Linked DNA regions of Nothobranchius furzeri. The protein of the gene in region 1 purifies or fractionates together with the protein of each later gene. This does not show direct contact. Links are inferred from orthologs where the notes say so. Each region holds a gene or a part of one and is shown in the gene's direction. Other genes may lie near its edges.

What was found.
Region 2: the proteins of cct8 (region 1) and pdcl3 purify together in Homo sapiens (affinity purification with mass spectrometry; 3 studies listed by BioGRID and IntAct, with this or other methods). This does not show direct contact. The link is inferred for Nothobranchius furzeri from reciprocal best matches to the Homo sapiens genes CCT8 and PDCL3.

The regions. Positions count from the first base shown.
Region 1 is NC_091750.1:65,567,433-65,571,871, forward strand, and holds the start of cct8 (T-complex protein 1 subunit theta), read left to right. Parts: upstream 1-1,424; 5' UTR 1,425-1,503; coding exon 1,504-1,563; intron 1,564-2,110; coding exon 2,111-2,201; intron 2,202-2,288; coding exon 2,289-2,368; intron 2,369-2,475; coding exon 2,476-2,625; intron 2,626-2,756; coding exon 2,757-2,937; intron 2,938-3,028; coding exon 3,029-3,090; intron 3,091-3,164; coding exon 3,165-3,302; intron 3,303-4,439. Other genes in the region: protein PIMREG, read left to right, coding at 113-275. UniProt on the Homo sapiens protein: Component of the chaperonin-containing T-complex (TRiC), a molecular chaperone complex that assists the folding of actin, tubulin and other proteins upon ATP hydrolysis.
Region 2 is NC_091754.1:32,212,343-32,216,910, forward strand, and holds the start of pdcl3 (phosducin-like protein 3), read left to right. Parts: upstream 1-1,512; 5' UTR 1,513-1,626; coding exon 1,627-1,632; intron 1,633-2,293; coding exon 2,294-2,414; intron 2,415-2,596; coding exon 2,597-2,687; intron 2,688-3,648; coding exon 3,649-3,792; intron 3,793-3,929; coding exon 3,930-4,138; intron 4,139-4,327; coding exon 4,328-4,470; 3' UTR 4,471-4,568. UniProt on the Homo sapiens protein: Acts as a chaperone for the angiogenic VEGF receptor KDR/VEGFR2, increasing its abundance by inhibiting its ubiquitination and degradation.

The DNA.
Region 1 (4,439 bases):
TTTCTTTCTGACTTTACAGCGCTGAAGTTGCTCCCTTCTTGTTACTAAATCTGCAAGTTGCATTTCTGTTATTCACTTTTAAATATTCTGCTTTCTGCGTTTGTCCTCCCAGCAGACCCAGTCTAAAGAAACGCTCTGCAGGGGCGGTGATGAGGAAGTTGGACCCCAGCGGTAAACTCTGTCGCTCTAACCTCTCGCGTCGAGCGTCACGCCTCTCAAACACACTGGGGGGGTGGGTCAACACGGCTGCGAGTACTGCTTGCAAACCCAACTGAACTACATTTATGTGTGACTGTGAAAGTTGTCTTTTTACATGTATTATTGTGGCGTCACTGTTCTGTTACATTTACATGTAGATTTGTTTTGATACTGGGAGACTTTTCTATACCTAGCTGCCTTTTTTCTGTTTTTATATTAATTTGTGTGAATTTTCAGTGTTTACATGTTTCAAGTTGGCTAGATATGAGTTAAAAGTCCTCATTTTTAGCTGACACAGGACCTTGAGAGATGTTGTCTGACAAAATGTCTCATTTTTCCTTTTTTTTTTTGACGTAGTTGCATTTCATAAAACTTGTTTTTAAAATAAACCAAATCTAGTTAAAGCACTAACACTAAATGTACTGACACTGGACAGCAAATCTGTCCCATATATGTATGCAATTATCCTAACATTTTGGTGCCTTTTTTATAAAATGTGTTTAAACCAAGCATATAGTGTTATTTTTATATAAAGATTAAGCAGTGGTTAATTGGGAGCTTTTTTCTCCATCGGTTGGTAATGTGAGTGGTTTATGTGCTAATACAGTACACATAAATCATCCGTTAATGTGATGGGGGAGAAGTTAAAGGCTCATTACCAGACGATGGCAGTGAGGATTATGTCATGAAGAGAAATCCAGTGAGTCGTTTGCATAGTGACTGCCTCAAATGAAGCAAAACATTTCCCCCATCTTATTTTTTCTGTGTGAATGGAAGAGGAGAAAAGCTGTCTAAATGTGAATGTGTCCAAACAATAAAATCTGTACAAATCCAGAAACAAGTCTTCACCCTATGAGTTTGACATCACGTTGATGGGTTGTAAATTTTTACATGTATTGTTTTTATTAAAAGTAGCTAAACATTACATGGTGAGTGTTACTCTTCTGCCGCACAGTAACCCCAAAACAAGATCGCTACATATATTTAGGTTATAAGTAATATTTTAAAATGACCTGTAATTTCAGTGCATGTAAGAATTGTTACTTTGACTTCTTGATTAAACATTTGCAATAATTTTACGCCATTGGTCTAATGTCGATGACATGTGCACCTTCAAGTGGAAAATCTTAAACTTGGTTTATGCGGTTTATGCTCAATCAGCCCAGCTGAAACGACAACCGTTCGGTTTGTCCCTTGTTGTTACCCGTATCTGGCTCCGCCTCCTCCTCTCCGGCTTTGTACCCCGAGCAGAAAGCACGCTGCGGTTAGCTTCTTTAACTTACCGGGGCTGCTAATCATCAGAAAATGGCTCTTCACGTCCCAAAACCTCCGGGCTTTGCCCAAATGTTAAAGGATGGTGCTAAGGTGGGTTCAAGTGACCGTGTTTATGCGGTAGAATAGGTTTGAGTGGGTGTTTGTGATTTAGCTTGCGAGCTAATGTTAGCATGTACATTCACAGTCATGTGGGAGACTTCTAGAAAGAGCCAGGCCGGTCCAAGTAACTGGTTGGGTTTGCCGTTGAAATAATGGGTCTGATTATTTTGTATTGTTTACGGTTCTTATTTGGGACGTTTTCATGTTTGCACATACACCTGCCTAAACGTTAAAATGATGCTGCAGTAGTTAGGTTGTCAAACTGCAGTCACACCCAGTTAGCGTTTAGCTAATTGTCACAACTAAAGTTCAGACACTTAGTTTCTGCTCTTTAAGGGCATTTAACATGATTTTCCTTATGAGTGTTCTCACTTCTTTCTGCTCTACACCAAGTACAGACCAGCTCATATTTTCATAATAGTTCTAAGTTGCTGCAAATAACAGGTTGACCATAGCATTTATCTTTTTGAAATTAAAACGAACATTCTGCATCGTTGTAAATGTCTTATTAAATGTACTATTTTATTTTCTACTGTAGCATTTTTCGGGGCTAGAAGAAGCAGTTTTTCGTAACATAAGAGCATGCAAGGAGCTTTCTCAGACCACACGAACCGCCTACGGCCCCAATGGTAACTATGTTCCAACAAAAGTATCTAAAATCAGAAACATCTTTAAAGTTTGACTTATTTAATTAAACTGAAACTGTTGTGTCACAGGTATGAACAAGATGGTCATCAACCACCTGGAGAAGCTGTTTGTCACTAATGATGCAGCAACAATCCTCAGAGAGCTGGAGGTGAGGAGATATTTACTAAATACTTATTGTCCATCCTGTTGAAAGTAAATAAAATAATTCACAAATATGCTAATCCACTTTGTTTGGCCCCAACATTTGTTCCATAGGTGCAGCATCCAGCAGCTAAAATGATTGTGATGGCATCCCACATGCAAGAGCAGGAGGTTGGAGATGGCACCAACTTTGTGCTTGTGTTTGCTGGAGCTCTGCTGGAGCTGGCTGAGGAGCTACTCCGGATGGGCTTGTCTGTGTCAGAGGTAACTAGAATAATATGGGATGGATTTAATGTTATTTACCCTGAAAAAACATTTTCTTTAATTTTTTTTCCTCTCTTATGACGAAATGACTTAAATTTAGAATAAAGAAGTAAGTGTATCTTTTTTTCCAGGTGATTGATGGCTATGAAAAGGCTTGTAAGAAAGCTCTGGAGCTCCTTCCCGACTGCGTATGTTCCTCAGCTAAAAACCTACATGATCTAAAAGAGTCCACATCTCTCATTCGCACGGCAGTCATGAGCAAACAGTACGGGAATGAGGACTTCCTCTCCAACCTCATCGCAGAGGCCTGTGGTTAGTCAGCTCAGATGTCATCCCTACAGTAATGTAAGTTTGTTTCTTTCTGCCTTTATTTATTTTTTACCCTACTGGGTTTTTGTTTCAGTGTCCATATTCCCAGAGTCCAACAATTTCAACGTTGACAACGTCCGGGTGTGCAAGATTTTGGTGAGCTTCATTACATGTTAGCTTTATTTTTTAGTCTGCATTCTTTGTGACTAATTATTTTTTTATGTATTCAGGGTTGTGGAGTGACCAATTCTTCCATGCTTCATGGCATGGTTTTTAAGAAGGAAGCAGAGGGAGACGTCACATCTGTTAAGGATGCCAAGATTGCAGTATTCTCCTGCCCCTTCGACTGTATGGTGACAGAGACCAAGGTAACAAATGTTGTCAGGCTTAGGAGAAAGCTGAGAAATGTTGGCATTTTATTCCTCAACCCTCTGGAGTCCAGGGTGTAATTTGCCGTTTTTGACTAATTGAGAGTTTTCCTTTGTATTTCCAAAATAAAAACCATAACCACTGCCTTATGTGGCATCAGTCTTTTCAACACAACCTGGACCTTATGAATTTATACTTATTTTTTATATTTGAACACAAAGGGGTTGCATATTAGACCATAAATCACTCAAAAACATAAAATCCAAACTGGAAAAAAGTTGCTTATTTTACTGTGAAACCAACAAACATTTATGACGAATGTTTTTTTTTTTATAATTTAGAATGGTAATCTAGACTGTACATTTATAAAAAATATGAATAAATATAGCAAATAACACATAAAAAAAAAATATTAGCCCTCTGGGGTCCAGGGTGTAAATCACCATTTTTGACTCATTTTGGTTTTTCTTTTGTATTTTCTAATAAAAACAATAAATATTGCCTTATGGGGATCATTTTTTCCAGGACAACCTTGACTATCTGAATTTATACTCATTTTATTAATTTGGCAATAATGTACATGCATTTTGGAGTGGGGAGTGGCTCCGTCTCACGCCGCGGAGATCGAGATCTTACAGCTGCGCGGCGCCGCCCACTCCTCTTGTTGGATCTCCGAGGAGCTGCATCGCTGCCTTTATCCTCTACCTCATCATGACCCCACTCTTCTATGAGGAAGGATGGATCTGCCACATCCTCAACATCCTCGCTATTTGCCTCAGACTCCGGCTGCGAGTCTCCGTCCACTTCCTCTGCTTCCAGTTCAAAAAACAGCCGAACTATCTGAACTGCCTGGTGGACATTTATCCTTCTCATCATCCTTTATTAAAGCCTAATAAAAGCCGACTTAACTGCAGCGACACTATATCTGTCCGGATCGCTCCAAAATATGAAGTTTATCTAGCCTGGCAAGCCAGACTAAATAATACATTTATTTAGTCTGGCCACACTCCATTGACAGCTCTCAGTTGTGGGGCGGGTTCTACCGTTGTCTTTCAAATGATCTCTGCATTCTACTGGACAATGAATGTGACATACTCTTGTTTCACTCTGTTGCATCATCCCACCCACCAGGCATA
Region 2 (4,568 bases), on another chromosome or scaffold:
TCTCATGATGGTTTTAAACAAACCCATAATTAGATTTATTTTCACCAGATACAATACAGAGATTAGGTCAATGGTATGAATGCAATTTAATAACAAATAGCGAGCTGCCATCAAGGGATTAAGCATGCATTTCTTTTTTTATATATATTAATTTTATTTCTGAAGACAAAACAAAAGATGAATAATTAACAGACCAATGGTTAATGTTAAAAGAATGATAAAAGTTTTTCTCAGAGAAAACTGTAAATTTGAACTTCACATCGCGTGAAAGAAACGTGATGGCTTTTAAAAACAATGTCAGAGTGAGACCTCCCTATTTTTATTTTCTCTCTTCACCAACTTTCCCTTCCACGAGTTCCGGTAAAAATTTTCTTGCCCTTTCCTCATTGGATGCGGTGGTGGTTATAAATAGCACACAAAAAGAAACCAAATTAATTCATTTATAATAAATAACCTACCATTGTGTATGTGATTAGATTAAAACTGAGACCTTAAACAGATTATATTCAGAGAATTATAATTTGTTTAAATGATTTTGCTTTTTGCTAGAAACATTTTTACACAAATTAATTTAGTGTAATTTAGGAAAAACTCGAATGTGAATCAATAAAACATTAAGGCTCGTTGAATTAGAGTACTTTTGAAAAGGGCGTCATTTTTTAATCTGTGTGCGCGCGCACGTGTTTGTGTAAACCCTAAATAATACTTCTGTAATTAAATGAGCTGTTTTTATTTCTAATTAAGATTGGTTTTTGCATTACAAGCATTAGAAACTGATTTAGCCAACATGTAGTAAAAACTTAAATCAGCCACACGAGGGCGACATTTATCCAACAGAAGGTTAACGTTCTTCACTAATCTGGTGTTCTAGGAAATATCAAGGTTTACCTGATCAAGTTTGGTCTAACCTGTTTTCTCCGCTGAATTGTTGTTATGATTTATTTAACAACTAATAGAAACAACTCAAATGTCGTGTGGTTAATTAATAAATGAGCAACTTGAAGAAAAAACTCGATAAATGACAGAGAACCCGTTCATTTTGGAGCTGTAATATTGGTTTCGTAAATAGTGAAAACAACGAGCACTAATTAAATCCACTTGTTTTTGCACTTTGGGAATGTAGTACACTGTTATTATCAGCAAACATTTTCCATTAGCAAATATTGTCGATGTGTTTTATTTTACCCAGTGAAATGTTATTTTTTTAATTCAGTAAAACGGAGAGAGGCAGGTTCGGGTCCGGTACCGGCCTTCCTGAATAGCACCTGTCTGGTTCCGTTCCCAGCTGCTACAAATGGATTGCTTCTCTCTCTTTCCTTATGTGGTCATATCGCACCTCGCAGGAAGTTGGTGTTACTTGTATTATTGTCTTTCCACACAATTAAATATTCCTCTTTTATTTTTTGTTTCGAAATCGCTGATTACTTTACAGTATTTTAAATAAAAATATTTCTATTCGCTTCACAATACTATTCAATTTAAATGACAGCATTTCCGGGCTAAGTAGATTAAAATAAAATCTACAGTTTCTTGTTTCTGCCGGATCTGCCCACGCGGACTTCCTTCTGTTTCCGGTTTGGAAAGGAGCAGTGGTGTGGTTTAGAAGGGACTCTTTCATTTGTCAAAATGCAGGTTTGTTTGGTTTTGTTTGGATTTTAAACAGCTTTCGTTAGCGAAAGTGGCGGTTCAACGGTGGTGAAAATTATGTGTACATGTTTTTATCGTTGAACAAAGTAGCAATGGGCGTGTCGTTGTCGTGTTAACAGTTTAATCAGATCCCTGAGCAGGAGAATAATATCAAGTAAAACCGAAGAGATGTGAAAAGTTTTGTTTAATCCGTCCTTTACTTTTGGACAAAAACCCCCACAGATCGTGGGTTTAAATTGTCTTTTTTGAATATTCAAACTAAAGTTCGCTTTAAATGTTCACTGACTTATATAAATGTCCGTGAGTCTGAACACAGATTTTGGTTAAACCATTTGGACTTTTCTTCTTTTCCTGAAACATGTCAATTAAAGTAGAAGTGCCACGTGCCTAACTGTTGATTATTGGCCCTCACTTTCATTATCCTCATTGTTTTCGTTGCAGATGAAATAAAAGTGTTTAATTACATAAAATGAAGCACGTTTTATTAAAGGCTACTGATGGCCAATAGCTATAATGTATTTTCAGTAATTAAATCATCTGATTTGTTTTTTAAGCTTATAGTTGTTAGACAGACACAAACAGAAGTTATAATTAATTCTATTACATTTGTCGTTGTGTGAATGATTAATTATGTTTTCATCAAAAGAACCCAAATGAAGACACGGAGTGGAACGATATCCTGAGGAAGAAAGGCATCCTCCCCCCCAAAGAAGTTCCTAAAGAGGATGAAGAGGAGGAGGAGCTGGCCCTCCAGCAACAATCTGTCGGTATGAAGGCTTCAACATGACTGTTTAAGGGTTTCACCCACATTGATTTTAAATGTATTTTCATATTTTAACATACTTTTTTACATTAGTCATATTATTTTATGTTTGTGCTTATCTCAATCCCATAAAATCAGAAATTGTAAGATTATTTGTGGATTAGAGGCCGTCTGCTGTTTGTGCAGTTAAAACATATGAGAGTATGACTCTGGATGAGCTGGAGGAGAACGAAGACGAGTTTGGAGAGGAGGATGAAGCTGCCATTGAGATGTACAGGTAAGTGGTTCAACAGGAGAACTGGGCGATCAAAACTCAATAACTATCTGTCGGGTTTTTGGTGCCTGATGCACTTTATTGTACATTTGACAAAACAAAACCCTGGTGAAATTTAGGGATGCACAATATATCGGTATCAGCCGATGTTAGTCATTTTTGAACATATCGGTATTGGTCCAATAAGTAAAACGGGGCTGACATTAAAAACCCAAATTTTTTCCATCTTGTTTCCGTTTGTGTATCTGTTTGAGAGGGTGAGGATGTGTTTAGTTTAGTCCTGTGACTGTGTGTGTGTGTGTGTGTGTGTGTGTGTGAATAACATCTTGCAAATTCCATTTTATAGAAAAATAGCAAAATATTCACAAATTCGGCTTACATAATGTCAGTCTATACAAAATTTGCTGATTTCAGAAGCATAAATCGGTATCAGACATAACAGTTATGTAAAAATCAATATCGGCCCAAAAACGTCATGTCGGTGCATCCCTAGTAAATGGCCTGTATCTGATATGGTGCCTTCTAGAGTTCTGGAACCCCACAATCAGTCATTCACCCATTCACACACACATTCACACACTGGTGGGGATGAGCTACGATGTAGCCACAGCTGCCCTGGGGCACACTGACAGAGGTGAGGCTGCCGAGCACAGGCGCCACCGGTCCCTCCGACCACCACCAGCAGGCAACGTGGGTTAAGTATCTTGCCCAAGGACACAGCGACAGCGACAGACTGAGCGGGGCTCAAACCTGCAACCTTCCGATTACGGGGCGAGCACTTAACTCCTGAGCCACCGTCATCCACCAGTAAAAATAAAATCTCTTTCCCATATGGTTGGTTTTTACTCGATTACATCTAGGAAATCAAGTCAACGCTTTAATTCTGAATCTTATAATTTCTTCTATTCCTGATGCATTTCTCTCTCCGTGGCTGTGTGCTGATGCAAGCTGCATCTCCTTCCAGACAGAAGCGTCTTGCGGAGTGGAAAGCGGCTCAGATAAAGAACGCTTTTGGAGAACTGGGGGAAATCTCTGGACAGGACTACGTCAAGGAGGTCAACAAGGCTGGAGAGGGAATATGGGTGGTGCTGCACCTCTACAAGCAGGGGTGAGTTAAGACCAAAGCTAGACCTGGATGTTTTACATAAACATCTGGAAAGCTTTATGTATAGAAAACATGCTGCTGAATCTGAATCAGTGTGGTGATTTCAGCACTAACCGATCCGCCTGGTCTCTCTGTCCCAGCATCCCTCTGTGCACCCTCATCAACCAACACCTGAACACGCTGGCCAGGAAGTTTCCTCAGACCAAGTTTCTTAAGTCCATCTCCACCACCTGCATCCCCAACTACCCCGACCGGAACCTGCCCACCATCTTTGTTTACTTTGAGGGGGAGATGAAGGCCCAGTTCATCGGTCCTCTGGTGTTTGGGGGCATGAACCTCAAAGTCGAAGGTAGGTCTGATTTATTAAACCAGACCAGACTCACCAAGTTACTGTTTAGGCTCGTCCCTGTAATAAGAAACCTGAGATGATTTCAACGTTTAAACATCGTGTCTGACTACCACCGTTCTGACGAGCTGTTGATCGTTTTTGTTTATCTGCTTGTTCTCCAGCTTAAGTGTTTCTGTGCTTCTCTTCCAGAGCTGGAGTGGAGGTTATCAGAAACCGGAGCGGTGAAGACGGACCTGGAAGAAAACCCCAAGAAACAAATCGAAGACAAGTTAATGTCATCAATCAGAAGTTCACTCCCTACGCGAGAAGACAGCGACTCTGAGGACGATTAAAAAGAAGAGTGCTGTCGACTTCCACGAGGAGACGTTCAGACGTTAAATCTGCAGCAGAGAAGCGGGCCTCCCATTCAGACCTGTGGTTATTTCTCATT